4 linked regions of the Pelodiscus sinensis genome follow. The protein of the gene in region 4 purifies or fractionates together with the protein of the main gene of each other region. This does not show direct contact. Links are inferred from orthologs where the notes say so. Each region holds a gene or a part of one and is shown on either strand. Other genes may lie near its edges. The genes, in order: GCC2, STRN4, HECTD1 and ZRANB1.

Region 1 (8,012 bases), on a different chromosome or scaffold from region 4:
GTTCTGAGTGGAAGAACATGAACGTTCTCCGGCGATTTTTGTTCTGACTTTTCGCTGTCAACAAAATGTAGTAGTTTAAAACACTAGCTTAACCTCCCCCCAGAAAAAGTTTTGCTGCAGCAAGTGAAAGCACAAATGGTGCTTTCTCCCAGAGCGCTCTCCTGCATCCTCTTTCAAGGGGAGGACGTACTCAAACAGCAATCACACTGCTGACTTAGCGACAAGGCCTTGCTGCTAAAAGCTGTGCTTAAGGTTGCCAGGTGTCAGGTTTTGAACCGGACAGTCCAGTAGTTGAGCTTTCTGTTCGGGAAACAAACTGAGAAAATATACATGAGAAGATGATCAACCCTCGCCGTGCTGCCCAGCCAAACCCTCCTGTGCCCAACCAGTCCTGTCTGCCGGCCGCCAGGGACGCTCCCGCTGGCTTCTCACAGAGCCTGACCCAGTTTGGCTCCTCCTAGGCGTGTGCACCGCAGCGTGCGGGAAGAAACGCAGGAGAGAGGCACAAGGCTCGGGCGGCGCTCGCAGCTGGTGGCCTGGGCGCGCGACTGCAGCGGGGCTACTCGGACTCAGGCTGCAGCGAGTAGCGGCCCCGCCGCGCCCAGACCTGGGAGGGGCGGGGCCACGGGCGAGGAGGCGGGGACGGTGTTGGGGGCGGGGCCTGGGTTCAGGCGCTAGAACCCAACCCTCTCCCACGTTCACTAGTTACCATAGAAACACTCGGGAGGCGGCGGGCCCGGATTGGTGACCTCTGACCGGACGCGGGTGCTGACGAAGGCGGAAGTGGGAAGCAGGATGGGGCGGCGCTGAAATCCCCCCCGGACCCTGCCGGCTGCAGTCCCGCCATGGAGGTACCGGGGGAGGCGCCGGCGGGCTGATGCGCTGGCGCGGGGCCGGCGGCCGCTGCCCTCCCTGAGCGAGACCCGGCGCGGGGGATTAACCCCGCCCCCTCCCACCCCGCTGCGGCCGGGGGGGGGGCGGTGGGTGACCTTGGGCGCGCGGCTCCCCCAAGTCTCCCCCCGTGTGGGCGTGGCCGCCTCCCCAGTCCCGGGGCAGAGGGCGGGTCACCCCCTTCCTCTGCGCGCGCTCGTGAGCCCCTCCCCCCCCCCCCGCTCCTTCCCTGGGGGGGGACCCCGCGCTGCTGCGAGCGGGGGCAGGGGCGCTGCAGCGCTCGAAGTGACGTCAGGGGGCCCCTTTCAACTGTCTCAGCAACGTGAGTCCAGAGTCATTTCGGGCTGGAGTCCCGCCAGTCCCGGCAGCTCTTGGGGATGGGGCCGCTATAGGTTGCCCCCGTGCGCATCTGTTCCGCCCTAGAGTCGTTCATGATTGTAGGCACTGAGGTGTTCTAACTTCTCCCATTCCCTGCTATTAAGTTGCCCCAAAACAACAACCACCCCAATTTCCACAAATGGAAGCTGGTTGCAGGGGGAAAAAAACCCGCTTTAAGTTGTGTAGCTCTAAGTCCAACTTTTTTGGAATGTATCTTGGACTTATAGGGTGTGTCTAGACTCCTGAGTTTTGTCGACAAAAGTGGACTTTTGTCGACAAAACTATACCAGCGTCTACACTACCGCTGAGTTCTGTTGACATAACGTCGACAGAACTCAGCAGTTTTGTCGATGCTGGTAAACCTCATTTTACGAGGCATAACACCTTCTGTCGACAGAAGGTTTTATTGCCTGTAGGGTTGCGTCTAGACTACAGGGTTCTGTCAACAAAGCAGCTTGCTTTGTCGACAGAACTCAATGTGTCTGGACGCTATTTGTCGACAGAAGTTTTGTCGACAGATACTGTCGACAAAACTTCTGTCGACAAAACGCGGTAGTCTAGACGTACCCATAGTGAGGATGACTTGTACCACCCAACTACTGGAAAACTACACAGCGGAGGCATTTCTGGAGGGGCAGGAGGAGAGGTGTCTGCACATCCTCTCACTTCACACTGTCTATGATTGTTTTAGGGTAACAGCAGGGTGGTGATTGCCATAATAAACTAGACCCCATGAACCTTTCCAGTTTGGTATCTTCCTTTTGGGAGCAGTGCCAACCGCATTCATGCTTCAGAGAAAAGTGGAAACACTGTTATGCACCTCCTGGGTTAGTTGGTTTCTCTGTGGGAGGTAAAAATCCATCCTGAACACAGCTGGGGGTGACTAGATCTGTAGATACTTAGATGCTTTATAAAGCCTAATAAGAGCATTCAAGCTCTAAGGGACCTTGATGATATTTTAGAAGTCTGCTCAATGACTAGATTTCCTCCATTCTGCAGATCAAGTAAAATAACCCAGGGGCTACATAAATGTAATGGCAAGTGTCAAGTAATTTTTATCTCTCATAAGTACTGGGGCAGATATATTTTGTGTCGTTTTTGCAGTTACAGAGAGAAACAAAAAGGCTTCCAAAGAAAGTTTCAAATCATTGTATTTGTAATGTCAAATACATTGATAAATCCAGTGTAATCTGTGGCCTTTCTTGAAATGTAATTGTAAAGTTGTGATCGCATCTCAGAACGTGGCATAGTTTTGGATGATTAGTTTAAAAGATTAGCGTATTTTCCACAAAAAAATAGTTTGGTACTTCTGTGTAATTTGTTTGCATTGTGTATGCCTTGTTAGAAGCTTATTTAATTGCAAATGAGCAAAATAGACTCATAAAGTGAAAGTAAACGCATCTAGTCTGATAGTGTAAACAGAATGGTGAATCAAACATACTGTTTGTACAGTGTGGAAATAGTATGTATAGCATGGTGGCAAAGTCTTTTGTGGCTACACAGTTTATACTGTGTCTCATCCTGTCTGCTGAGAGTTCTGTAAGGTCTCTCTGTGTAGAGTCCCAATCCCTTTTTTCATATGCTTCTGCTTGAACTTTGAGTTTAAACTGCCAGTGTTTCTTCAGGTCTAGAGCTCTCCAATAACATGAAAATCAGAAAGTAATCCTACAAAAAGTAGAAACTGAAAAACTGCTAAGGAAGAGGGAAAAACACTTGTATACAGAGAAAATGAGAGGCAGAGGCACAAAATGAGGCCTAGCAAGGGATGTAAAAGACAAACGGGGTTTTTAAAATACTTTCTTTCTCTTGGTCCTAATGTAAGTGTAGGCCCTCTTAATGGAGAAGGAAAGTGAATATCATGATATCAAACAGGCTGATCTGTTCAGTTCCTATTTTACTTTGGTCTTCAGTAAAAAGCTTAATGATGACCAGGTACAAATCACAATTAATATTAAAACAAGGGAGAAGCCTACATAGGAAAATAACATGTTAAAGAATATTTAGATCAGTAAGATGTATTTAGATGCCTTAGGTTGTAGGCAGGATTTCTGTTCTATATAAATTGTATGCCCACTTCACCAGGTTTTTTTACAGTGAAAAACATCAGATTAAATGCATTTATAGTAAACTTCCGATAATCCGGCACCTTTAGGACCCAGGGGGTGCCGGATTATCAAATATGCCGGACTATCAGAAGGGGGGGCTATGAGGGGTCTGGGGTGGGGTGGGGTGGGGAGGATGCTACCCCAGACCCGCTCATAGCCCTCCCTTCTGATAGTCCGGCTCTGCCCCAGGAGTCCCCGATTCAGCCACTGCTGGTCAGTTTCAGCAGCGGCTGAATCAGGGGCGCCTGCAGCAGAGCAGCTGGGGTGCTGCTGGGTTGGTCCAGTAGCGCCGACCCTTGGCGCAGCGAGACCAACCCGTCAGCACCCCAGCTGCTCTTGGGGACGCCTGGGGCAGAGCAGCTGTGGTGCTGAAGGGTTGGTCCCGCAGCGCCGCTCCTCGGTGCTGTGGGACCAACCCAGCAGCCTTGCAGCTGCTCTGCCCCAGGTGTCCCCAAGTCAGCCACTGCTGATAGTGATCAGCGGCTGACTCCAGAAAGCCAGAGGCAGAGCTGCTCTGCCCCAGGCTTTCTGGAGTCAGCCCTGGTCAGTTTCAGCAGTGGCTGAATCAGGACGCCTGGGGCAGAGCAGCTGGAAGGCTGCTGGGTTGGTCCCACAGCACCGAGGGGCAGCGCTATTGGACCTACCCGGCAGCACTCCACCTGTTCTTCCCCCTGCTTCCCGGATTCAGCGCTGGTCAGTTTTAGCAGCGGCTGAATCAGGGAAGCTGGGGGCAGAGCAGCTCCAATGATCCGGCTGCCCGGAGCACTTCCGGGTTCCTGATGGTGCCGGACCAACAGGAGTGCCGGACTGTCAGATGCCGGACCATCAGAGTTTTACTGTACTTTCATGTTTATTGTACAAGTCTCTCTGTTTTGATAATTTGTCATTAAATCGGCTTCTGTTTAAGGGAAATCTGAATTAGCTCTGAAATACTGCTAATTGGGAGCCATCACTGATGGACAATTTAGAAAGAAGCTGAAGTCTTATAACATGCACATAACTTGTATAGGATTAGAGAAGGCCAAATCTTGTTTGTATCTTTTAAATAGAGGACTGAGAGAATTGTAGACCAACCAGCCTAACCACTACCCAGAAAGAGACTGAAACAAATTATTAAACAATAATTTTTGTGAGAACCTAGAGGATAATAGGATTATAAGGAATAGGCACCATAGGTTTGTTAAGAGCAAATTATGCCAAACCAACCAACTTTCCTTCTCTGATACTTACTAGTCTAGTGGCTGGGGAGCAAGCAATAAATGTGATATCTTGATAATTTTTTTAGTAAGCTTTTGACACAATCCACATGACATTCTCATAAGCTAGATAAATGATAGAAATGTAGCCGTGTTAGTCTGGAGTAGCTGAAACAAAATACAGGACTATGTAGCACTTTAAAGACTAACAAGATGGTTTATTAGATGATGAGCTTTCGTGGGCCAGACCCACTTCCTCAGATCAAATAGTGGAAGAAAATAGTCACAACCATATATACCAAAGGATACAATTTAAAAAAATGAACACATATGAAAAGGACAAATCACATTTCAGAACAGAAGGGGGATGCGGGGGGGGGGGGGAAGGAAGGTGAATGCCAGTGAGTTAATGATATTAGAGGTGGGGAAGGGGAGATGTCTGTGAGTTAATAGTATTAGAGGTGATAATTGGGGAAGCTATCTTTGTAATGGCTAAGATAGTTGGAGTCTTTGTTAAGTCCCCTGCGGAGAGTGTCGAATTTTAGCATGAATGCCAGTTCAGAGGATTCCCTTTCAAGTGCAGATTTGAATGTCTTCTGAAGTAGGATGCAGGTTAGCAGGTCATTGAGACAGTGTCCTTTGTGGTTGAAATGACAAGCAACTGTTTTTTCTTTGTGATCCTGTCTAATGTCTGTTTTGCGGGCATTGATTCTTTGGCGAAGTGTCTGAGACGTTTCTCCAATGTACATAGCAGACGGACACTTTCGGCACATGATAGCATAGATTATAGATAAATGTAATTTACATTAAATTCCTATAAAGTGAAAGACTGTTTGTGCAGTTACTTGTTGGTGAATTCTACATCATTGCACATGTGCAGAATTCATGTCCCCTGCAGATTTCTTTGCTTCATTACAGAAAAATAACTTCCGATGGGGAAGTAAAGGGAAGCCATGAGGCTGGTCACAAGTCCCTCCCCAGCAGGGCTGGCAAGTCAGTTTGGGCACCCAGAACAGCTCATAAAGATGTAAAATCACTGATGAGCTGTGGGGGCTGGGTGGTCATGCATGTGTGTGAGAGAGAGAGAGACTCTGTGCTTGCAGCATGGTTGGCATAGCAGTGGTCCCCAACCTTTTGGGGCTGCCGGGCACCCAGGGATGGGGCCACACATGCGCCGGGCGCCCGGGGGTGGGGCCACGCATGCGCCGGGCGCCCGGGGGTGGGGACATGGCCGCGCATGCACCGAGCGCCTGGGACCCAAGGCGCAAGAATGGCTCGGGCCAGCCCTGGTCACTCGACGAGTGCACGTAAATGTCCAGGCAGGCACCATGGCGCCCACGGGCACCGCATTGGGGTCCACTGGCATAGAGGGTCAGCGCTTTGGGGTGTTTCCGAGGAGGTAAGTGTGAGGCATGCTTTGTCCCCTCAGGCAGAGCAGAATATAGCAGCCTGCCAGCTTAGTGAATTGTTCCTATTGTTTTTAATGAATTCCCCTAGGAGTATAAACCAGATATATAAATTATTAAAGCACAATATGGCCTAATAAATGCTTATAATAAGTTAGTGATTAAAACTAAAATTTTGCACTAAAAAAATTCCTATAAAAATGGCAATGAATTTTTTGCTATTGATCTTTCTAAAGATGGTCAAAAGTAAAGATAAATTGCGAATTTGAGTCCCTAGCCCTCACTTGCTCGTCGGTTGCCTATGATGTAACACTGAGTGTATGGATATTTATATTTGACTAGTAACTAGAAGTAAAGGATCAATACTATTTACATTGCTATTAGAGAGGGTTGGGGATTTCCTCCAATGCTCCCCAATCCCATTCTCCATACTATCGTTTCAATAAAATTAACAAAATAATTGAAACCAGTATCATTGTGTTGTTTTAAGAAATAAAATATGTAGCAAGCCCTGCATGGATACAAATGTCAACTCATGGAGACGGATATGTGTGGATAGACATCAGTGTCTGCTGATCTGCAGGGCTTTACTCCCAAGAATCATTGTGGCCTATGGAGAGGAGCATAGTAACATTGCTCCTGAGAGCCCCCAGTCTGTGCTGGCAGCTCCTCCTGGCAGGATTTTTGCAGAATTAAGAGTAGTTTCCAGTTTGACAGCAAACATTGAAAGGTCACATCTAGTGGGGTCAGTCCTGGATCTAGTACTGTTAAAATATTTTAATTAATGACTTAGGAAATGGAGTGGTGAGAATTCTTAAATTTATTAATAATATCAAAGTGGGAGAAATTGCAAGCACTTTGGAAGACAAGTTTAGAATTCAAATGACCTTAACAAATTGGAGAATTGGTGTGAAATGAACAAGAGAAAACTCAAAGAAGACAAATGCAAATGAATTCACTTAGGAAGGAAAGATCAAAGACACAGCTACAGAATGGGGAATAACTGGTTAGCTGGTACTGTTGAAAAGGATCTGTACAGTAGACCACAAACTGAACATGAGTAAACAATGTGATGCAGTTTGAAAAAAGGTTGTTGTTATTCTGGTGTACATTAACCAAAGGGATTCATGCAAGATATGGAAGGTAATTGTCCTGCTCTACACCCACTAGTGGAGGTCTCAGCTGAAGTACTGTATCCATTTCTGAGCAGCACACTTTAGAAAAGATATAGACAAATTAGGGAGAGTCCTGAAGAGAGCAACACATATTACTAAAAATTTAGAAAATCTGACTTGTGAAGAGAGGCTGAAACAATGGGAAGAGAACATATTTCAAGACATACTATTAGTCTTAAGAGCTGTTATAAAGAGAACAATGGCCAATTATTCTATGTCTGCTGACAATAGGACAAGAACTAATGGACTTTATCTGTAGCATGGGGGATTTAGGTTAGATAAAAAACAAGCTGAACAAATACCTTTTATGGGAGGTCTTGGTCTACTTCGTGCAGGGGCTGGACTTTAATTTTTGAGGTTCCTCCTAGCCCTGCATTTCTATTCCCAAGTATATGTAAACATTGTCACCTTTCAAATCCAGTCCAAGATGATCATCTTTGAGCGTAACTTGGAAGATCCTACCATAAAATCACTGTTCATTTAAATGATATCCCTCTTCTAGTATTTTCATTTGTCTACATTTTTAAGACTGGTCTTTTGTTAGTAAGTTATCAAGCTATACTTTCCAGACCAGTTGCAAATAAAAAAGATTTTGTCCACCCTCTAAACACAAGTTTTTTGGATTATTATTAATTTTTAAGACTATATTGGCTTACATCATGCAGTGAATGATCTATCCAGATCTTGATGTGATAGATGCCTGAGCTCATTTCTTCCATTTTTTTGTTGTATTTTTTATTAATTTTAATTTTCTAGAGTTCTACCTTCTACTGGAGGAGTTAGTTATTGTGAAGGTACCTCTGGCTCTTAACTGGTTCTTAACTGGTTAGGAATGAAAAGAAATGAGTTCTGACATGCTAT
Region 2 (6,978 bases), on a different chromosome or scaffold from region 4:
CCTCCTACACAGCTCTCCTCAGCCTCGCCCTCCAGACTCAAGTCACAGTGCTGCTCTTCTAGTAGCTTAATCTCATTTAACTCCCCAGCCCTCTTCGGTTTTACAATCCCTCGCCTGGTACCTAGAACTCAGTCCCATCCATTGCCTTTCAGGCCACTGCTTGCATCAAACCCTGCTGTGTGGTCTGGTTCAATTCCCCTTGCTACATAGACCAGCTATTATAAACCAGCCCATATACAAGCAGGTACCCTAAAAAGCAGAAGTTTATGCCTTACATCCATAGCAGCCATTTGGATCCTGAAATCTGAGACCTTCTGGAGATGTTTTACAGCCTGCAACATGCTTCCAGCCTGGCAGATGATAAACTACTACTCTTCACCTCTTCCACCCGTTCGCCATGTGAAAACAGGGCATCAAAGTGAAGTTGGCAAGATCGGGTCAATTTTATTCACCTCTCTCCTGTGCCCTGCAAACCCATCAGTGTTTAAGAAGATAGTAACTCTCTCACCCAGGTGCTGATGGGTTGCACCATTCAAAGGTCCCTGGCTCACTGCCCCTCTCGAGGGGGGCTTGAGAAAGTGCCATTTGGGACAGGGCATTCCCTTGACATCTTCAGCACCTACTTCCATCCCAACCAATTCATCCTTCCATCCCTGTGGAGCTGAATTCACCCATATTACTAACCTCAGATCCATTGGCTGTGGCTGCTCACGGAAGTTAATAAAATGCTTCACAGCCCTAATCCCTGGGCAATCCTAGCATGGTTGTTTGGGGAGATTTCTGGTTCCTCACATCCAAATGCCATCTCCAGAGCTACTGGGGAAGAACAGCCCTGCTAGTCTTCATACCCTAGCAGGGAGATCACCATCCCCTGCTCCTTAAAACATATGCAGCTGGGAGAGTGATATTCCCTTGGCACCAAACACCAATAACTGGGAAGCTGCTCCTCTTGACCAGACCCAGTGAGGCTACCCAGGGAAGCGACCTCCCTGCAGCTCTCTACTAGGATATGATGGCAGTGTCCCACCTCAACCCCATATCCCCACCACCAGCTATTACCGGTCTGAGTATTTGCTGTCCGCTCTCCCTTCTTCCTTAGTTGCCATGGGGTTGACAGATGCATATCCTTACCCCAGTTCTTCCCCTGTCCGTACTGGGAGGCAATGACTACATTTCTCCCCTTGTCACCTCCATTCCCTCTTCAATCCCTCTTGGGAAGCATCAATTATTTCCTGGCCTGGCCCCAATAATCACCCCAACTCCACTGCTAGTTGCTATGGGGTTGAAAACTGTATTTCTTACCATCACCCCAATTCCTTCACTGGTCACTAAGGAGAGAATGACAGTCGTGTTTCTCCCCCAGTTCACCCCAATTCCTATTAAAGGGTAACAGATACAAAAGCCCAACACATTAATTCCTTCCCTCAGTGTTATGGGGAGGCAACTGTCACATACCCCTCTCCTCCCCCCAGTCCGCTTCATTCCTTCTTGGACAGGAATGCTCAACACCCTAATTACAACTGAGGGGTGCCAACTTTGGGGGGGGAAGGATCCCAATACCTCCCCCATTCCGTATCCCCCTCTAATCACTCACCTCCAACTTGTCCCTTCAGCTCCCAGTCTCTACCCAGGTCTACGCCCCCTCTCCCTGTCAGGGGGTCAGCCCAATTCTGTGACGGGGTCCTGAAATTTCCCAATCCCCCCAGGGGGGGGATCCCAGTACTGGGTGAGCCTCTGACACTCCCTTTTTCCTCTTATGGGAAGTCCATCAGTCCTGGGGATCCTGATACTCCCTCTCCATGGAGGTTCCCACCCATGTTCCTGGGGGGGAGGTGACCCTCCCCCCATAGGGCTTCCCCAGTCCTGGGGGCCCTATCACTCCAATTTCGGCCTCCACCGGGAGTCCCCCAGACCTGGAATGCCTTGACACTCCTCCTATGCCCCCAGGGAGTCCCCCAGTCCTGGGGGGGTCCCCTGACACTCCCCCTTTCCCCCCATGGGGCTCCCCCAGTCCTGGGGGGCCCTGACACTCCCCCTTTCCCCCCATGGGGCTGCCCCAGGCCTGGGGGGGGCCTGACACTCCCCCCCATGGGGCTCCCCTAATGCTGGGGGGGCCCTGACACTCCTCTTCCCCCCCCACGGGGCTCCCCCAATGCTGGGGGGGCCCTGACACTCCTCTTCCCCCCCCCACGGGGCTCCCCCAATCCTGGGGGGGCCCTGACACTCCTCTTCCCCCCCCACGGGGCTCCCCCAATCCTGGGGGGGGCCTGACACTCCTCTTCCCCCCCACGGGGCTCCCCCAATCCTGGGGGGGGCCTGACACTCCCCCTCCCCCCCACGGGGCTCCCCCAATCCTGGGGGGGGCCTGACACTCCCCCTCTCCCCCACGGGGCTCCCCCAATCCTGGGGGGGCCTGACACTCCCCCTCCCCCCCACGGGGCTCCCCCAATCCTGGGGGGGCCTGACACTCCCCCTCCCCCCCACGGGGCTCCCCCAATCCTGGGGGGGCCTGACACTCCCCCTTCCCCCCCACGGGGCTCCCCCAATCCTGGGGGGCCCTGACACTCCCCCTCCCCCCACGGGGCTCCCCAGTCCTGGGGGGGGCCCTGACACTCCCCCTCCCCCCCACGGGGCTCCCCCAATCCTGGGGGGGGTTCTCCCCCCCCGCGGGGTCCCGTCGGCCATTTCCCTCCAAGATGGCGGCAGCGGCGGAGGCAGCGGCGGCCCCGGTAACCCCCCGCGGCTCCCCGCGCCCGGCCCGGCCCCGGCACCTGCAGCTCGGCCCGCTCGGCCTCCCAGCGGCTCTTCTCGGCCTCGAAGCGGGCCCACTCGTGCTGGATGTAGTGCAGGATGCCGGGCAGGCTCAGCTCGCCGGGCCCGGAGCCCGCGGCCGGCCGGCCCGGGGCCTGCGGCGGGGGGGGCGGCGGCTCGGCCCCCGCCGGGCCCGGGGCCTGCTGGGCCCGCACCAGCACCCGCTCAGCCTCCATCATGGATCCCGGCGGCTGCCACATAGGGAGCCGCGCGGGGGGGCACTTCCTGCCAGATAGTGATCCGCCAGGAAATGGGGCCCGCGCCGCGGGACGGGGGCAGGGAGGGGTTCCCATGGCAACGCGCCCCCCCTCCTCTCCGCGGCAGGCTCGCTCCCCCCTCCGAGCGGAGGGTTTCCCCTGGCAACGGGCCTCTCCAGGTAGGCTGCTTCCCCCAGCAGGGGGTTCCCATGGCAACGCCCCTTCCAGGTAGGCTGCTACCCCCCTCTGAGTGTGGGGTTCCCATGGCAACGCCCCTTCCAGGTAGGCTGCTTCCCCCCTCTGAGTGTGGGGTTCCCATGGCAACGCCCCTTCCAGGTAGGCTGCTTCCCCCCTCTGTGTGGGGTTCCCATGGCAACACCCCTTCCAGGTAGGCTGCTTCCCCCCTCTGAGTGTGGGGTTCCCATGGCAACACCCCTTCCAGGTAGGCTGCTTCCCCCCCTCTGAGTGTGGGGTTCCCATGGCAACGCCCCTTCCAGGTAGGCTGCTACCCCCCTCCGAGTGTGGGGTTCCCATGGCAACGGTCCTGCTCCGGTAGGCCTGCGACCCACCCCCACAGCAGGGAGTTCCCATGGCAACGTCCCCTCCCATTCCCCCCCCCCAGGAATATCCACCCCCCCAGCAGGAGGTTCCCATGACAGCACCTCCCCCAGAGCAGGCTTGCTTCCCCCTTGGCAACCACATCCTCCAGGTAGGTCTGCTTGTCCCCCCCCCCCCCCCGGAAGTGGGGGGTGGTTTCCATGGCAACAGGTCCCTTCACCTGCCCCACAGCCAGAGCAAGGAGAAGGGTTCCAGGGGCCCCCCAGAATAGGCCTGCAAGGAGAGGGGTTCCTATGGTAACAGCGCCCCCCTCCAACCTCCCACCTTGCAGGCTGGGTTCATCCCACCCGGAGCAGGGAGAGGGCAGCTCCCATGACAGTTCCCCCTCATAGCCTGGTTCAAATGCCCCCCCCCCCAACAGCCAGGGACGGGTTCCCATGGTAACACCTCCCATGCCTCACACCCCACTCAAATTAAAGTGGGTACCCCAGTCAAGTTCCCTCTAGAATAGGGTCTCTTCTCTGCCCTATCCCAAAAGCAGACAGTGAGCAGTTCCCATTTCAGCAGGGGGTCTTGATCAGGGCCCACTCCAGGGAGGCTTCTCCTACCCACCCACAGCAAACAAGTAGAGGTTCCCATAGCACAAGGCTCCTCACCACTGCAAGTACAGTCACCTCCACCCAGGACTGCATAGGCCACCCCAATGACAGGCCGCCTCCTTCCCAGATCATGCTCCTTCCCAAAATACTGTTCTCTCTGCCCCCCAGGGTAGATCCCTTCTCAGCACAGAGTTGAGACTTCAGTCTGGTTTGGAGGAAGGCAAATAAAATCTGCCTCCTCTCCCTAGCCATAATGCTGGAGTATTTCATCCATTGCCGTAGCTCCATACTGGCCCCTATTCAGAGCAGTTACTGTCCTTTCAACTATTCAGTGGTCACCATTTTCTTTCCCCATCTACATCTTTATCTGGAGCAACTGCTAGCCTTACCCCAAATCCTCCATTGCTTGGTAGTCAGCTTTATCAGTGTGCTTCTCTCCTTCCTTCCCCCCTCACTTCTATCCCAGTCACTTCAGGATCCTTGTTGATTGTCACAGAGTTGTCATACCTGGTCAGAGCGCGACCAGGAACAGGTAACAGGAGAGTTTGGAGAGGGAGTTCTCCAGGGAAAAGAGGAGTAAAAATGGGACCCTTGTGGTAAGTGGCTGTCTGGAGTGTGTGTTGTGTGGGGGGGAGTTATTTGCAGTGTGCTGAGCTTGTGTTTGTCTGGTTTGTTTGCTTTGTTTGTTTGAAGGAGCTTCTAAAAGGTTTGAAATCTAGAAGCCTCTGTTAATTGGCTGAGCCTCAGTCAGGGGGAGGGGCTACCAGAGCTATATAAGCCTGTGACTCAGCGACCTGGGAGAGCACGGAGAGTGCGACCAGGAACAGGTAACAGGAGAGTTTGGAGAGGGAACTTAGAGGGAACTAGTGACTTGTGTCCTTCTTTAAAACCTAACTCTTAGAATAATCTATACTCCAGAAGTTTTAAAAGAATCCCAGTTTGTACTTAAACTTATTCATTACAAACATGGAGACAGAAGCCCAGCAGCAGAGTGGGGGCTATCCTGTTTATTGCATCGAGTGTAATATGTATGATTACCTGCCCTGTGGGCGGGTGGCGTATGTGTGCACCCGTTGCAAGGAGCTCCTGACCCTCAGACCGAGTTCGGGCTTTGGAGGACAGGGTGGCTGAACTGGAGGAGCTAAGGGAGGTAGAGAGCTTTGTTAATGAGACTTTCTGGGACACTGTAGTACTGTCCCACCTCCAGTCTGAGAGCCCCAGTGTTCTTAAGGAGGATGAAAGTCTCAAGGGAACAGAGCATTTAATGGGAGCAGAGGGAAACCATCCCATAGTTGGGACCCTCCTCCCAGAGGATGTTGCGGTATCCTCTCGCACTGAGGATGCCTCTGAGGGGGAGGGAATGCCAGTTAGGAAGAGGCAGGTGTTAGTAGTGGGTGATTCGATCGTTAGAAACATAGATAGTTGGGTTTGTGATGACCGGGAGAACCATATGGTCACTTGCCTGCCTGGTGCGAAGGTTGCGGATCTCTCGAGGCATCTAGATAGACTTATGTGTAGTGCTGGGGAGGAGCCTGTGGTCGTGGTACATATAGGTACCAATGACGTAGGGAAGGGTAGGAGAGATGTCATGGAGGCCAAATTTAGGCTGCTAGGAAAGAGACTGAAATCCAGGACCTCTATGGTGGCGTTCTCGGAAATGCTTCCGGTCCCACGCGCAGGGCCAGGTAGGCAGGCAGAGCTTCAGAGTCTCAATGCGTGGATGAGACGATGGTGTAGGGAAGAGGGGTTTGGATTTATTAGGAACTGGGGACACTTTTGGGAGAGGGGGAGCCTATACAGGAAGGATGGGCTCCACCTAAACAAGGGTGGAACCAGACTGCTGGCACTAAACATTAATAAGGCCGTAGAGCAGTTTTTAAACTAAGAGATGGGGGAAAGCCGATTGGTGCGGAGATGCATGTAAATCGGAGAGAGACTTCTCTTAGAGGAGAATCCGTTGATAGAGATTCTCTAAGCTGTAGTCGGAAAGAGAGGAGGGGAGAGGGCAAACCATGGGCCAGAGCTGACAAACAACCGCATAAAAGGAATCCAATGCATCAGGGAAGGGCAGACAAATAACCAGTGGCAAATTTTTAAAGTGCTTGTACACAAATGCTAGGAGTCAGACTAATAAGCTGAGTGAACTAGAGTACCACGTATTAAAGGAGGAGATAGACATAATAGGCATCACTGAAACCTGGTGGAATGAGGAAAATCTGTGGGACACAATCATACCGGGATATAAAATATATAGAAAGGATAGAGCAGGCCGGGTGGGTGGCGGAGTGGCACTATATGTGAAAGATAATGTAGAATCAAATGAAATAAAAATATTAAATGAATCAACATGTTCCATAGAATCGCTATGGATAGAAATTCCATGCTCCAATAATAAGAAATTAGCAGTAGGGATATATTACCGGCCACCTGACCAGGACAGCGATACTGACATAGAAATGCTGAGGGAGATTAGAGAGGCTACCAAAATAGAGAACTCTATAATAATGGGGGATTTTAATTACCCCCATATTGACTGGATACATGTCACCCCAGGAAGAGAAGCAGAGATGAAAATAATTTCTCAATGGCTTAAATGACTGCTTCTTGGAGCAGCTAGTGCAGGAACCCACAAGGGGAGAGGCAATTCTCGATTTAGTCCTGAGTGGAGTGCAGGATCAGGTCCAGGATATAACCGTTACAGGACCGCTTGGGAATAGTGACCATAATATAACAACATTCAACATTCCTGTGGTGGGAAGAACACCTCAGCAGTCCAGCACCCTGGCATTTAATTTCAAAAAGGGGAATTACAC
Region 3 (7,942 bases), on a different chromosome or scaffold from region 4:
AGCTTTGATAAAGTCAAAATATATCACATCCACTGACTTCCCCACGTCCACAGAGCCAGTCACCTCATCATAGAAGCTAATCAGATTGGTCAGTCATGACTTTCCCTTGGTGAATCCATGTTGACTATTCCTGATTACATTCCCCTCTTCCAAGTGCTTCATAATGGATTCCTTAAGGATCCCTAATTTTTCCAAGGACTGAGGTGAGACTGACTGGTCTGTAGTTCCCTGGATAGTCCTTCTTCCCTTTTATAAAGATGGGCACTACATTTGCCTTTTTGCAGTCATCTGCGACTTCTCCTGATCTCCATGAGTTTTCAAAGATAATGGCCAAAGGCTCTGCAATGATATTTGCCAACTCCCTCAGCACCTTTGGATGCATTAAATCTGGACCTAGGGATTTGTGTATGTCTAACTTTTCTAAATAGTTCTTAACCTGTTCTTTCTCCACCGAGGGCTGCCATCTCCTTCCCATACTTTGTTGCCTAGTGCAGTAATCTGGGAGCTGACCTTGTCTGTGAAGACAGAGGCAAAAAAAGCATTGAGTACTTCTGCTTTTCCCACATCATCTGTCACTAGGTTACCTCCTTCCTCCAATAAGGGACCCCACACCTTCTCTGATCACCCTCTTATTGCTAAAATGCCTGTAAAAACCTTTGTGTACCCTTCACATCCATTGCTAGCTGCAATTCCAATTGTGCTTTCACCTTCCTGATTACTTCCATGCAGTATATTTATACTCCTCCCTAGTCATCTGTCCAAGTTTCCACTTCTTATAAGCTCCCTTTTTGTGTTTAAGCTCATCAAGGATTTCCTTGGTAAGCCAATCTGGTCCCCTACCTTATTTGCTTACTGCGCATTGGGATGGTTTCTTCCTGTGCCTTCAATAAGTCATCTTTAAAATACTGCCAGCTCTCCTATTATATTCAAGTTGATTAGCACTAGTCCTTTTCTTAGAAGACCTGAAATTCAAATTGTCATGTTTGCAAGAGGCTAGTTATGCAACATGCAACACACCCACTGTATCCATGAATCTCTATTTTTGTAGGCACTCACCAGTTATTTCCAGAAAAAGCATAATATCGGGTATTACATGCACAGTAGCACCATTCATATTTGGTGCCACTCATTTGGATTTGGTTCTTCAAAACTGACCCTTGAAAATCAAAATTTTCTAAAAACTCTTCGGGTATGTCTACACTACCATCCTAGTTCGAACTAGGGTGGTAATGTAGGCAACCGGAGTTGCAAATGAATCCCGGGATTTGAATTTCCCGGGCTTCATTTGCATCTTGCTGGGCGCCGCCATTTTTAAATGTCCGCTAGGGCGGACTCCGTGCCGCGCAGCTACACACGGCACGGACTAGGTAGTTCGGACTAGGCTTCCTATTCTGAACCACCGTTACTCGTGAAACTAGGAAGCCTAGTCTGAACTACCTAGTCCGTGCTGCGTGTAGCCGCGTGGCACGTAGTCCACACTAGTGGACATTTAAAAATGGCGGCGCCCAGCAATATGCAAATGAAGCCCGGGAAATTCAAATCCCGGGCTTCATTTGCAACTCCGGTTGCCTACATTACCATTCTAGTTCGAACTAGGGTGGTAGTGTAGACATGCCCTTCTACATGGTCAGTTATCTATATATTTTAGAAATGTGCATCCGTGTGTGTCTGTCCATTTATGTGTCTGTTCGTTCAAGAACTGCTCCTAAACTGTAGGAACTAGGATCACCAAATTTGGTATGCAGCTTCCACCTATCCTAATTTAAAGAAAAGTTAGGATTTGGTTGTATCCAGAAAGTGTCAGGAATAGGACTCTTTTCCATGACATGGAAAGGGAGGGGCACAGAGAAGAGAATACTGAAAGTGGCCATCAGGGGCAGTAAGCATGGGGGAGAACTATACTGCACAGTGGACACTTGCACAGCTGTACCACCAAGAAAGTAGCCATCAGACAGGAGCTCTGCCATCTTGCCTGCCACCAGATTGGGTAAGTAGCCCCCCTCATCCCAAACCATTTCCTCCTCCTGGCTCTTGGCCAAAGTCCATGCTGGTCAGAGGGGTTGGGAGGAGATAGAAGGCCCCGGGTGGCTGGCAGAGGTGGAAGACAGAAGGCTCTGGTGACTGTGGCAGCTGGAAGAAAAAAACATCCCTGGTGGCCAGGGGGAGAGCAAAGGTCTGTCCCAGATGGGTCCTCAGGCTTTGAGACCCGCCTTACCTCCAAGCCCTCACTCTTGCACTTCCCTCATCACCAACCTCCTGTGCTCCCTCCTGATGCACTAGGCCCTGCTCTGAGTCCTGCATCCCCCACATGACCAGGTCCCTGCCCTGAAGGACCCAGGCAATTCTGGGTAAGTCTGCTATAAATTCTCATTAATATATGGGGATTAGTGCATGCAGTGGGTTTGTCACATACTATATGTTACTCTAACTGTTCAGACCATCATATATATTTTGATATTTTTTAAATATTTTTCTATTTTTCAACAAATTCTACTCAAGTAATGAAAAGTGCATAAATATAAACGGAGAGAGAGAAGGAGTTTGGCACCAGTTCACAGATATGTTTTGTATATGAATGAACTGTTCTTGAACTACATCAGTTTCTCAGGTTTTCCCAGCAGTCATGAGTATGGTATCCAAATTTTCCTGTCCTTTGAACGGCACCTAGTTTCAAACTAGTTTTTTATTTCTTTCCCCCCCTTAAGTGCCACAACATAGTTCTGCTCTGTTACAATTGTACCTTTCCACTGATTTCTCTCAAAAACGAATGAGAGTAGCATTTAGCTTCTAGTGTTTAGTGACTGCATCAGTCATTCAAGCTTCAAGGGCCTGAAATCGATTATTCTTTTTTCTGTAGCGTGATCTTCAAAACTGGTGAAGAGGGCATAGTTGCATCACTGAAAAAGCATTTGGAACTAGCAGTTTTTGGGGCAACAGAAGCTGCATCTCCAATAAAAGCTTGAATAGACTGGGGGGAGGCTTAATCCTATAATATGAAACAACTATTAACTGATGGAGGTGTTGTCTTTCTTCTTTAACAGTCTAACCCTTTCACATGCCACCAAGATTTATTCATTGCTTGGATTTAGTCATGAGACTGGGAGCCACTGTTCTTCATTGGATTCCAGTCATGAGTGAAAGGAGCAAAATATAAATAAAAAATAACTCATTTCTTGAATGACTTTATGGTTCAGAGTGGTCTCTACTCAATTTATATAATTAAAAAATTGGGTAGAAATTCTAAAGTCTGGGATGTAAATCTCCTTCTATAATCTTCCTTGGATTTAGATTACTAGCAATCCTTGTACTGGAGGGAATTCAGATGTAACCTATTACCTGGGGGTTAGGTCCATCAGACAGATGATCAGGTACATAAAGCCTGTATCAGTAAGTGAGCAGGAGTGAGACTGCAAGAATTAAGGTTATTCTTGCATTTCCCAACTTTTGAATGCTTGATTTTATCCCTTTGACCCTTTTCCTACCCACTGATTTGTACAGGATGACTTCTAAATGTATGCAGAGCTCCAGAGGTTTCAATGGGGTTCTGTACAGGTGCAGGGCTCTTAGCAGGATCAAGTTCTTAACATTCTTCTTTTAAGATAGTGGACTTTAAAGATAATAGTATAAAAATAAATATTTGTTACAGTATAATAAAAAGATGACTACTGATCATGGTTATAAGATGATGCCATACCAACATATCAAAATGAGAAGTGTAGGTGGAGTTAGAGACAGATGTTTGAGTTACATGTTTTTAACAAAAACAAAAAACTGTAGAAGGCTTTTAAACAAAGAAAACAAAGGTTCTGAGAATGCTGCTGAGACAGTCTCCTGACATAATTAGAACACAACTTTGTCTTGTAATACAGACAGGACTTAGTCATGAAGCATGATACTGCTGTGTAAAACATAAGACTGTAGGAGGCTTCCAAAAAACAATGAAAACATGATGTGCAATTTATGGTTTGGGCTGAACTACACTATAGCTATTGTGAGGAACTTTACTCAGTGAGAACTAACACTGTCAGCCCAGTAAACAGAATAAAAAAGGGTTTTTTTTAATCTTTTATAACAAATAACACTCTGTTCAAAACTCCTCTTTTCTATTCTCCATTTCTACCCCCACCTCTTTTTTGTTGTTGACCATAAAGTCCTATGAATGAGTGTTTAATTTATTGTGGGTGCCTGGCCAAGCAAATTGAGATTATAAACTCATTTTTAGCCATGTTCCAAAGTGCAGAAATGTATTTAGTCTTGAAAAAAATATATTATTTTGTGTGTGTGTGTGTGTGTGTGTGTGTAAACATCCACGTGTGTGTGTGCGTGCATGTGTGTTAACTATCTTTACAAAAATTCTATGATATACTTTGTTTTACAGAGGCTGTAAACACTTTTTGCTCTAATACCTCTATCACAGAATTTGGGGAATAGGAGTCTTCTACTCAGTAGAAATCGTTTTCTGAGGAACATCGGCTGTGGGTTGTGGGGGCAGTTGAGTTCTCAACCTGTTTTTCATAGGTCTATATACTCTGTTATTTTTTTCAACTCCCGCCTCCTACCCTCCAGCTGTCCTTAATTTGTAGGAATAATAAAATTATATATAATATTCTACATGCTGACAAAACTCCCTTCTTCTATCTCCATCCTTCCCAAATTTTTCTGACATGAAACCCACTGAAAGAGGGGTTTCACTTTAAAAAAATAAAAACAGACAAGCACTTTCATTACACCAGCTATACTATATCACTCAGACACACATCATGTCAACATGAGTAATCAGAGTGTTTGAGCAACGTCACAAGCAACCTTTCACACAGTTATTGTTACAACAAAATTGCACAAGACAGATCATGGTAAACACACTGTGTTTTAGATCTGACGTATAGTTGCTCTGTAGTTGCCAGAAACATTGCAAACATTAACACTTACTTCAGGAAAGCCAAGACGTTCACATGGCATTCTAAATACAGAGCTTCACCAGACAGGGTTTTATTTATGGAAAAAAGAAAACATTTATTTTCTGGATGAAAATATGGCTTTAGAAAACACTTCAAAGGCAAAGAAGACTAAATAACGAGTATTTGTACAGCAAAACTTAATTAGCTGGCAAAACCAGTAAGTATCTGACCTTGTCAGGCCCCTGTTATTGCTCTGATCTATTTAGTGCAAAATAGTTTGATATATTTAGAAACGTCTATTTCCCACGTGTACAGAGCCGGGCAAGGAAGTTAAAGAAAACACATTTTATATGTTTCTAGGTCAATTTAAAATTTAAATAGGGGAGTTGTTTTTGCTAAAAGAGCTAATGACTAAATTTGTCTTAATGCTGTGTGTCAGGGTGATGTTAACAAAAAGTAGATAAATTATCCTTGTGGCTCTCTCTCTCTTTACTTTCAATTTTGGCAAGGTAACTTCCTATGATCAAGGAATTTTGTCTTCAGTCTAAAATGTTACTAATCTGAAACTTTGTACAGAAAATGGCCTTGATAATAAAAGGCAAAAATAAATTTGTTAAATTGTTTTTTCAGTTGTACAAGGAAAATATGTGTTTCTATGACCTCCCATTGTTTGACCCCACTTCTTGCTAGACGTTTATTTTCAGATAGAATATTTTGTACTTATGGAACACTGTCTGAGTAACAAATAATGTTTCACAAACATTTAGCCTGGTAACAGCCTTCTGAGGTGGTTATTACTACTCCATTATTATTTCATAGGTGAGGAAACTGAGGTACACAAGGGTTTAGTCACTTGACAAGGTCAAAAGGAAGTATGCATCAGCACTGGGATTAGAATTTAGGTATAGTTCCCAGTCCATTTTCCAACTAGAGCTGGGTAAACAATTTGTATTGAACCTTTATTCAGATAATATACACTTTATTTTCTGGTCATGAACATAAAGGAACATTTATAAACTTGCTCATATTTCATAACTGTTTGACTATTTTTTGCAAGCAAATTTCAGCCTGTGGATTCAAACATTTACAAACTGTTCACTATGATTGTTCCTACAAGCCTTTTGATATTCAAGCTATGTGACTTGTTACCCAGTGACGTATTATTTCTGATCTGTGTCTGGATAAACAAATCTTTATAATTCTGCCTTAAATTAGTTTAATGATTAAATAAAGGGCTTGAAATTTACTGAGTAAATATTCATATGAACAGAGTTTTACGCCCAGGAAACTTCACTTAAATAAATAAGTATGCAAAAATGATTGAAGCAAATAAAATGTTTTTACAATCACCTTGAACTAGTTTTGCACTCTAGCCAATTTTATCTCATTTTCTATATTAAAAAGCAATCAGTTTTGAAGATGGAGCACATTTAACTTTTTGTGATATCTGGAGACAGCTTGAAACAATAGCTGAGACTGCTGTCAGCTGTCGCATTTCATTTCAATTGGGTGTTTACTCTGAAGACTAATGAAAATATTTTAATTGTCAGTTGCTGACCAAGGCACACAAATAAAAGTGTGACAGACTTATCATGATACTTTAAAAGAGAGATAAGCTATGCGTAGAGCCCTGAGTGGATACAAGATTTGCATCCACATCCACAAAAATGAGCTATGGATATCCCCACTGATGTCCTAAAATGTACATATCTGCGGATATAAAGTGAATATCGCAAATTTTCAGGGTTCTAGCCACAAAATGTTATCTATCTGCATCCATATCCACAAAAATGAGTTGAGAATATAGAGCAGATATCTGCAGATTTGCAGGGCTCTAACTATGGGAGTCTCAACTGGATTAAGTTTGTGTAAGAACCACTCCTTAGTTTTTTTTTATTGTATTCTAAGGAATAAGAGTCACATGTTTAGAAATACAAAACATAAAAACTGAATATTCTCTGACGTATTAAAGACTTGAGAATGAAAAGTTTGGTTGGTGTCTGAAGTAGTACTAAGTCTCTTGGCACTATACTTTAATACATTAAAATAAATACAAGCAAATCAAATTATGAGATATCAGATGAGTTAATGAACATAATCAGGAGTACATGGATTTGGTTTTAGTATTTTAGGAATGCAGGGTTAGAGCCACAAAATGGATTGAGGCTCACATTTGCAATGGCAAGCTTCGTGCCCTGCTGTGCAATGGAAGCCTCATGTTGATTTGGGCAGCCAAACTCCTGATACAAAGCATGGAGAGAGTTAGGCACCTAAGAGCGGGACTCACACAAGTCAGCAAATGGATTGGGGAGGGGATTAACCTAGCCAATAGGAAATGAAGAGGAGAGTGGCGGAGTCTAAGCCTGATCCATCAAAGGGACTTAGGTTCCTAACTCTGGGCCAGAGGGATTTGTTGTTCAAAAACAGAGATAAAATCCAGTTTTTCATTTTACTTTCAAGCAAGACTGTCTGGGAATAAGAATAATTCTAGAGATGGTGTTTCTTAATGAGTGACACAGAGACATCAGCATGTGACAAGTTCTGTGTGACACAGCATGACTCCCATTGGCTTTATGCCCTCTGTATACACCCCATTCTTCTGATTACAGGAAATGTCTATAATATAGACAACAGTGATACTCAAACCTGCTATAATCTTTTCTTACAATATTTATATTATTGAGCCTCATGTGACTGATTTCCTTACCAGACCTTCATGTGATCCCACAAAGAAGAAAACTATTGTGAAGGCTAATTGTGCATGAATATAGAGATTTTTAGTCTTTAACTCTAAATGTGTAGTATTTTGCTTTATGTTTAGAATTAAAAGAAATAATTGAATAACTATTTAGTGTGCACTGAAGAATTTATACAGGAATATTATTTTCCTATGATAATTTTCAGCCTTAGAGTGGAAAGTTTTGGGGCAGCACTGTGTCTTTCTACCTTAAATGCTACTGTATGCTATATAAAGAGTAGTTCTTCAGAGTAGTGTTGTGAAGAATATTAGTTCATGATTGCACAACACTTTGAAACAAGGGCTA
Region 4 (7,744 bases):
TTTATCAACATGAAACTTCATTTGCCATTTTGTTGCCCAATCATTTAGTTTGGTGAGATGTTTCTGAAGCTCTTCACGGTCTGCTTTGGTCTTAACTATTTTGAGCAGTTTGGAATCATCTAGTATCATAAGAAAGGACTGGTGTATTTGCAAATCTGGTTGCTGAGGGGGACCATGATCTTTCATTTAGAGAAGTGGCTACCAGCTTGTCAACAAATGCTTTCTTCAGCAGGATTACACCATATAGATAAAGCTTCCAAAAGCCCATGAGCAGCACTAGATGCAGAAATGTTATTCCAGTCCAGTACTATGACAAAACAAATTTTTTTATGATTTTACATCACCATGCACAAGTTAAAACCATAAGTTCTTGGCCTCCCACTTCCAAAGCCAGATGACATTGGAGATGGCTTGTGTTGCTACACCATACAAATACTCCACTGGGTGATTGCTGAACACTACTAATGGGGGTTTCAATGTCCTCTTTCAGTTACCATGCTATTAGAAATTAAGTGCAGAATAAACCTGAATTACTGTTTTGAGGTTCTGAATACAGTTATACTAATAAAAAAAAGGTTAACATCTGCAGCAGACTGACAGATCTGTATGTAACTGATATCACACACAAAAAAGCTGAGAGGTGAGAGTTTAGTGTATGCTAGCACTAGAAAAAGTTATCATGCCCTTAAGTCATGGGTAGGCAATAAAAATGGCAACCCACCGCTGCTACATTTATTTGCATCTCTACAAATATCAGGTGAATGCAGCTCTTGTTCGCCACGAATGGTGATCCATGGCTAACAGGAGTTGCAATTGCCCAATACCTGCAGAGGTGCAAGTAAATACAGAGGTGGTAGCCTGGCAGGGATTAACCCTGTGGACTAGACCCAGCCCATGGGCCAGAATTTGCATACCCTTGCCCTAAATACATATCTGCAAGCTAGGTTAACTGCTTAAAAATTCACATGTAATGACTCAGTTATTGTTCCAGTACCTCTAAAAAAAACTACTTTTCAAAATGGCAACTCTCAAATTCTAGAAAAGTTATTTTCCTCATGGTTATCAAAAGATGCATTGCTAACAAAAGTCTTAGCAGCTGTTCTGTGCTCAGCATGCAGAGGTTCCAGATTCTACATCTGCAATCATAATACCACCATGTAGCCCTAATAGGGTAGCTGAGACTAATCAGGAAGAGGTGTGTTCAGACTCTGGATTGAAGGAAAGAGAGTGCCTTGCATCATTCAAAGTTAACCACTTACAGCTGTTCATAGAGTTGCATTAATGAACTCCAAAGAGGGTTGTATAGTTCATCTTTATCTGCAAGCTGGTTGCTACCATGTTGTAGGTAGAACTACAAACTAGAGAGGGAGATATAGATAGTCTGGGGTCCTCCTTATAGTGAATATTATATTATGTTACAGTCTGTAAATAAAGAATTATTTCAGTTGTTAAATTACATGGAATTCAGAACAGGATCTGATTGTTTTACTGTGGTTATCTTTGTACATCAAAATCACAAATGCTTTATACAACTTGGTACATAGTTGAACATAGTTCAACATTAACTATGGCTAACCTATTGTCTGCAATACATGTAAATACAACAAATAATTCACAAATTTCAGGTAGCTTCTGTAGTACAGAAGTAAAGACAGATCTAGAAAAAATGAGGGGGGGGAATAAATGGGAGTCAGGAGACCTATGATCTCACTCCTGTGGATCTCAGTACTGCAGCAGAGTAAAAGAGAACCACAGAAAACAAGGCAGTCTCCTGTTTTTTTGTGTGTCTAAGAGTCCTGTTACTTTAACAAGACCCTTAAAATGCGTGCTATAGCGCTTTTGGAGTAGAATAATAAACTGTGCATACAGAAGTGCAAAAAGAAACCTTTCAGGTAACAGTTACAGCAGAAGCAAATTCCTGCTTTCCAATGGAGAAGTGAACCTTAGTCATTCAAGTTAGGATACAAGTTAAAAGACTCACACTCAGACAACAGGACTTTGGTATTAATAGGTGGAATTCAAAAGCCTATATGGGCACACGATGTACCACGCGTCTCCGTTTAAGTCAGCGCGGGGGGGGGGGCAATCCTCCGACAACAAAAACACCCAACTTAGTTCACGCCGCAGGTATTTCTACACCAGTAAACAAGCCAACTGCAATAGCAGCGTCTCCCCGAAGCAGGCGCCTGAAGCCCCAGGCTGGGACGTGAGGGTGGCCGGGGAGGACACCCAAGCAACCTTCCGACCTCTTTCCACACCGGGACCCCGAGTCACGACAGCAAAAGTTTCAGGAGCCCCCTTCCCCCAACCCGTCAGGAAAAGGGAAGCGGGCGCGGCCACCAGCTCAACGCGCAGCCTACGAGCTGCCCTGCCGGCCCCGGGTGGGAGGCAGCGCTGGCTCCGGCGGCTGGAAGGGGCTGCCGCTGGGAAACTGACATGGGGTGGCTCTAAGCCAGCAAGGGCCCCGCTGGGGGAGGGGCCAATTAACACCCCCCCCCCCGCGCGCCGGATCGTTAAAGGGGCGCGAGGAAAGGGGGAGGAGCTGAGAAGGGGGCACCCAGCGACGGAAGCCTGTGGCGGTGGAGGGGGAGGCTCGACGGCTCCGAGGAGCAGGACCCTCCGCCCGGCCTAAGTGTCCGGCAGGGCAGGGAGAGCTCTGCCCCAGAAGGCAGCCCGGCGGCTCGCGGAGAGAGGGCCCCGCTGGGAGCCGCTGGTGGTTGGCCCACTGGGGAGAAGTCGCCTTACCTCGAGCGCCGCCTGCTCCTGCTCCCGGATCCGTCCCTCGGACACTAGTCGGCGTTAGCACCCCCCCGAGCCCCCCACCATCCCCCCGCCCCGCTGGCTGCGGCTCCCCGCTCAGGACATGGTCTCTCCCGGCCTAGCTGGCTCGCTCGGCCGCGGGCGCTCCCACTCGGCACAGCCGGGGGGGAGGGGGCAATCTGTAGCCCCAGACTCCCAAGTCCCGAACCCTCTAATGGCGGCGGCTAGAGCGGCCCAAAGCAAAATAAACCCCCATACGGCAGAGGGCTCTGACGTGAGCGAGCCCGCAGCCCTGTCGCACGCTCATTGGCGGGAAGCGCGCCGTCCGCCTGGCCAATTCGAGAGCGCCTCTTTGGGGCGAACCGGTGATGTCATCCCTGCCTCTGTGAGGATGCGGGCCTTCTCCCCTCCCCCATGCCCCCGCCGGAGGACTGCGCTCCCTCCGCCCACCCGCCCAGAGCAAGCGCCGCCTCTCTCAGGAGCCGGAGATTCCCCTCCCCCACTCACTCGCAGCGCCTCTCCATCGCCCGCTCCCGCCAGGGGACCACCCAGGAGATCCAGCCTCCAGCAGGGGAGCAGCCGCCCAGGAGACCCCCCACTCAGCCCCGCGCTTCTTTCGCCGCCCCCCCCCCCGGGGACAAGCGGCACCAGAGCCCCCGCCCCAGCCTTTCACGCCCCTGTACTGGAATGTAAACTGGTCTGTGCTGTCCAGCCACGGGGCGAGGCCACGCGTGACACCTCATGGAAGCATGCAGCCAGGCTGCCTGGCCCTCAGTGCCTCCAAGCAAACTCACCTCTCCTCTCCTTGCAGCCAGTGCATGAGTCCCTACTCTAATAGCAGCCTTGTAGCCGCCACCCTACACAAGTTAAACATGCCACCACCCTACCCCTGTGCTGCTGCAGTGCGCTAACCTCGCTGGAGGACACCCTGCCCCAGCCTGCTCTCTGGCCCCGAGACACAGCATAGGAAGCTTTCCATGCTGTTAGGAGAACAGAAGAGACTGCAGCCCTTTACTCCACAGACCTAAAAAGTACCAGCTCTTTCCTTCCAGACCAGAAATGAGCCTCATCTATCTCCAGGGGCCTGATCTTCCCAATGGTATGGCTACAGGTCTCTTGCTGGGACTCAAAGCCTTGACGGTTATCACAGAGGTCCAGAAAGGAGCTGTCATCTCCCCTTATCTCTCCAGCTCAGGGATCCAGAGGAAAGGAAGAGCTATATCACATATTTCCCAGGAGCCCAGGGAAACTTCAGGAGAGTGTCAGAATGCAGAGGATTAAATTAAGATATTTTGTTTGTGAGAAAGCTTTGATAATGGATAAATAAATCTCTTCTCGGTGGATTTATTCTAGTAACTTTCTCTTCATAAATGTAATATATTCCATCATGAGGCATATTTTTGCCAAGGTATTCAATGACATCTGCATGCTTCCATGAATACTGGACCTGTGTAATATATCCTAAACATCATTAGTGCAAGTTTAGTCACTGGAAACAATATTTAGGCTCTCAAAATCAATAGATATCCACTCAGATGTGTATATAAAATTAAAAGTGATAGCTATCAGGTGAATAACAAAAACCTTACTTCCTCAGGGGGATTCTCTGTGAAAAAGAGGAATAGTTTCCAAGAACCCTTACAATGGCAGACAGCATATTAACCTCTTACCATCCCCTCACAAGTGTCTGTTATTACTTGTCTAAGGTAAGGAATGGTCCCACTATTGTGGGCACTTTGCTGGTTTCTATGCTACCCTGTGAAATGGACTAGCAAAAGGAGCTGAGTCCTCACCTAGCTCCTACTCTTTGTGGCTTCCTCACAGCAACAGATTATTCACCTAGCTCACACTTTTTCAGTCCTAGCTCTCAGGCTTCCTCATACCTAATTTTTATTCTGTGGATTCCACACTCCCATTGGTCACCTCCGCCACACAGCCTCTACTTCCTCTCCAAGTCTGATCCACATGTTACAGGTTGGACCTCTCTGGTCTGGCACCCTGGGGACCTGACCAGTCCTGAATGAAGGAATTTGCAGCACCAGGGGAGGTTCCCTGCTACCGGCTCCCAGCCTGCCTCCTCTCCCTGTTGCCAGCCTAAGCCAGCCTCCCCCACCCACCCCGCCGTGCTGCCACAGCCCCCAGCAGCCCAAACTGCCATGTTCCCAGCCCCGCTACCAGGGCTGTTGAAGCCCTGGACCCACTACCAGGGCTGCCACATCCCTGGCTCTGACCCTTCTACCGGGACTGCCATGGCCTCAACTGTGCTACTGGGGCCACCAGCCAGGGCTTCCTGGTTCAGAATCATGCCAGACAAGGGAGTCCCAGTTTTTGGAGGTTCAACTTGTACTTCATTTTTCTGTATTAGGCAGTATGGAGCCATCTACCAGCTAGGTTATGGACTGGGTAACTATACTTTGCACAGCTACATAATTTCCTTCACATTCATTTGGAGTAAGGGAAAGATACCCAATAATGAACGCACCATAGCATAGCTCACTAACACTAGGAAAAATCCCATTGTCCAACAGATCAGAACGCCAATCAAGACCAGCCAAATGTAATTATTTTCAAAGACTGAAGTGACACTTTGTTTCTCTTTGCAAGGAAATTGGATTGCTATAAACACTGAGCAGCCTAGGAAAATGGATCATTTGCCCTTCCCAGCCTACTTCTTTGCTAAATTCTATCTCCACACAGCAAGTGGTGCCCTACTCTGCACTTTGGCAAGCATATCAAGGCTTAATTATATTTAGCTACATAAAAAAATGAGGACAACCATATTTTCTTGTCAGATCCAAGATGAACGTGGATAAGTCATCTAAAAGAAATATTTCCATCCATATTTCCATCCCATATTCTTTGTGATTAGAAGTAATTCATAAAACTTGCTCTTAGCATGTTAAATAAGCATTTAACAAGGAAGTTATCTAAAAGAAGAATAGTGAATGCTAAAGTAAATGCTTAGTACTCTCAAATACTTTAACTACAGGAAATCTACAGAAATAACGATTTTAGATTAGATAGAATGGAAAGATGTGGTTTATATAAAATCAAACAGAATTTGTAGTTTTGAATAAATTATCAATTTCAACTCTGTCAAGGTATTTCCTAAATCTTTCAGCAAGTCATCCATCTTTCCATAGAAACAGTTAGATTTCTGGTAAAATATAACTCAGGGAACCGCATCAGCAGAATTGCAAGATAATTCTGGAAAGAATTTCATGGACTCTAGAATCAAATCCCCAAAACTGTAACACAAGACAGACAATGAATTTTGTCACACAGGAAAGAGGAAAATGTATGGCAACCGAATTAACAAGTTATATCGTTTAAGTAACTTTAGAAACAGAAAATGATTGTTTTGTAAAATAACATGTTTATTTTGCAACATAGAAACATTTCATATAATAAAATACTCCTCTTAAGTGGTAAGAGCTAGAACCACCAAATTTGATATGCAGCTTCCTCTTATCATAACTTAAAACAATGTAAGGGTTTGGGTGTGCCAGGATAATGTGATGTGTCTGGAATTCAATGGTTTCTCATAAAATGGAAAGGAAGAAGTTTGGTAGGAGGGACAGTTATACTGTAGAATGACCACAGGGGTGCAGCCAGGAGCCAGAGAGGGGTACTGGGGCAGCTATAACTCCACTAGGCCAGTAAAGGGCAAGGGTGGAGAAAGGGACAGCTATCTACTATATATTTCAGAAAGTTTGTCTATCTGTGTCTGTTTATCTGTGTGTCTGTCTGTGCCCCAGCAAGGGGTCATGCACCCCTCTCCCAACTGCACCCACAGCAGCTGCAGCAACTGTGGAAAGGTACTTAACACCTGGTCCCAAGCTGCTATCGTGCAGATTGTCCTCTGTCCCTGGGGCAGCCTGCATATTGAACCCCCTTATACCCAGTCCCACCCCAGACCAATGATTTTAATGAAGAAAAACATTCATTGAGTTAAGGACCCAAGCAATGCTGGGTAAATGTGCTAGTAGTTGAATATTATCAAAATAGTCCTTTAAATATTGATCAGAAATACTGTTATCAAAAGTGAATCGTGCATGAATCTTAAAACCACATGACCTCTCTCCAGGATCCATGACTCTATAACAGCCTGTCAGATGGACTACCTAGGTCTCAGTTACCTGTTAAGAAGAATTTAGAAATGGTTAGTTTTTCATTCCTTGTCAGAATGAAATAAAATTTTTAAATCCTATGCAAAATGTAATTCCTTTTGCTGCACACCTTTGCTCAGTACCCGGACACTACAGATGTCCCATATTCCTTCAGTTCTTCTGATGCTTACTCTAATAAGCTTTCTTCCCAAATCCCTCTATTATTGTTCCTGCTCTGATTCAATGTGCTTATAAATGTATAAATCACATAGGAATCTATATTTAGGAAGGAATCTATATTTAGGAAGGAAACATTGAAACATTTTGCAATAGAGTATTGTACAATACTCAACCAAGGGATGATGTTCAAAGAAGGACTGCTGAGCAGCAGCAGGGTCCATCTATCAAGGAAGACGAAGAGTATCTTCAGATTTAGACTGGCTAAGTTAGTGAGCTTCACTTTAAACTAGGTTCCCCAGGGGAAGGAGACAAAAGCCCACCGGTAAATCCTAAACTTGGAGACTGGGTGAAGGGTCAGAATCTGGAGGGAACATGGGCAATCCTAGCAGGGAGAAAGGAGACACGAGAGAGCACAGAAGGAAAATCTCATGAGCATCTCAGATGCCAGTATATTAATTCAAAAAGCATGGGGAATAAACAGGGTGAACTAGAAATACTACTATCACAATTATGACATAATTAGCATCACAGAGACTTGGTGGGATAATTCATATGACTGGAATATGAATACAGAGCAAAAAGGGAGGATGTGCTGTCTTGTATATCAAACATGAATACACCTGCCATGAAGTGGGAGGTAGATCCATTGAATGTCTCATAATAAGGATAAAAAGAGTAAAAAACAAAGATGATGT

What was found.
Region 1: the proteins of ZRANB1 (region 4) and GCC2 purify together in Homo sapiens (affinity purification with mass spectrometry; 3 studies listed by BioGRID and IntAct, with this or other methods). This does not show direct contact. The link is inferred for Pelodiscus sinensis from reciprocal best matches to the Homo sapiens genes ZRANB1 and GCC2.
Region 2: the proteins of ZRANB1 (region 4) and STRN4 purify together in Homo sapiens (affinity purification with mass spectrometry; 4 studies listed by BioGRID and IntAct, with this or other methods). This does not show direct contact. The link is inferred for Pelodiscus sinensis from reciprocal best matches to the Homo sapiens genes ZRANB1 and STRN4.
Region 3: the proteins of ZRANB1 (region 4) and HECTD1 purify together in Homo sapiens (affinity purification with mass spectrometry; 5 studies listed by BioGRID and IntAct, with this or other methods). This does not show direct contact. The link is inferred for Pelodiscus sinensis from reciprocal best matches to the Homo sapiens genes ZRANB1 and HECTD1.

Annotation. Positions count from the first base shown.
Region 1 is NC_134711.1:235,141,289-235,149,300, forward strand, and holds the start of GCC2 (GRIP and coiled-coil domain-containing protein 2), read left to right. Parts: upstream 1-5,003; 5' UTR 5,004-5,807; coding exon 5,808-5,969; intron 5,970-8,012. UniProt on the Homo sapiens protein: Golgin which probably tethers transport vesicles to the trans-Golgi network (TGN) and regulates vesicular transport between the endosomes and the Golgi.
Region 2 is NW_027465849.1:5,733,564-5,740,541, reverse strand, and holds the start of STRN4 (striatin-4), read right to left. Parts: upstream 3,012-6,978; coding exon 2,772-3,011; intron 2,730-2,771; exon of another isoform or gene 2,679-2,729; intron 1-2,678. UniProt on the Homo sapiens protein: Calmodulin-binding scaffolding protein which is the center of the striatin-interacting phosphatase and kinase (STRIPAK) complexes.
Region 3 is NC_134714.1:51,019,482-51,027,423, forward strand, and holds the start of HECTD1 (E3 ubiquitin-protein ligase HECTD1), read left to right. Parts: upstream 1-4,927; 5' UTR 4,928-5,115; intron 5,116-7,942. UniProt on the Homo sapiens protein: E3 ubiquitin-protein ligase which accepts ubiquitin from an E2 ubiquitin-conjugating enzyme in the form of a thioester and then directly transfers the ubiquitin to targeted substrates.
Region 4 is NC_134718.1:53,943,555-53,951,298, forward strand, and holds the start of ZRANB1 (ubiquitin thioesterase ZRANB1), read right to left. Parts: upstream 3,016-7,744; 5' UTR 2,746-3,015; intron 1-2,745. UniProt on the Homo sapiens protein: Ubiquitin thioesterase, which specifically hydrolyzes 'Lys-29'-linked and 'Lys-33'-linked diubiquitin. Also cleaves 'Lys-63'-linked chains, but with 40-fold less efficiency compared to 'Lys-29'-linked ones.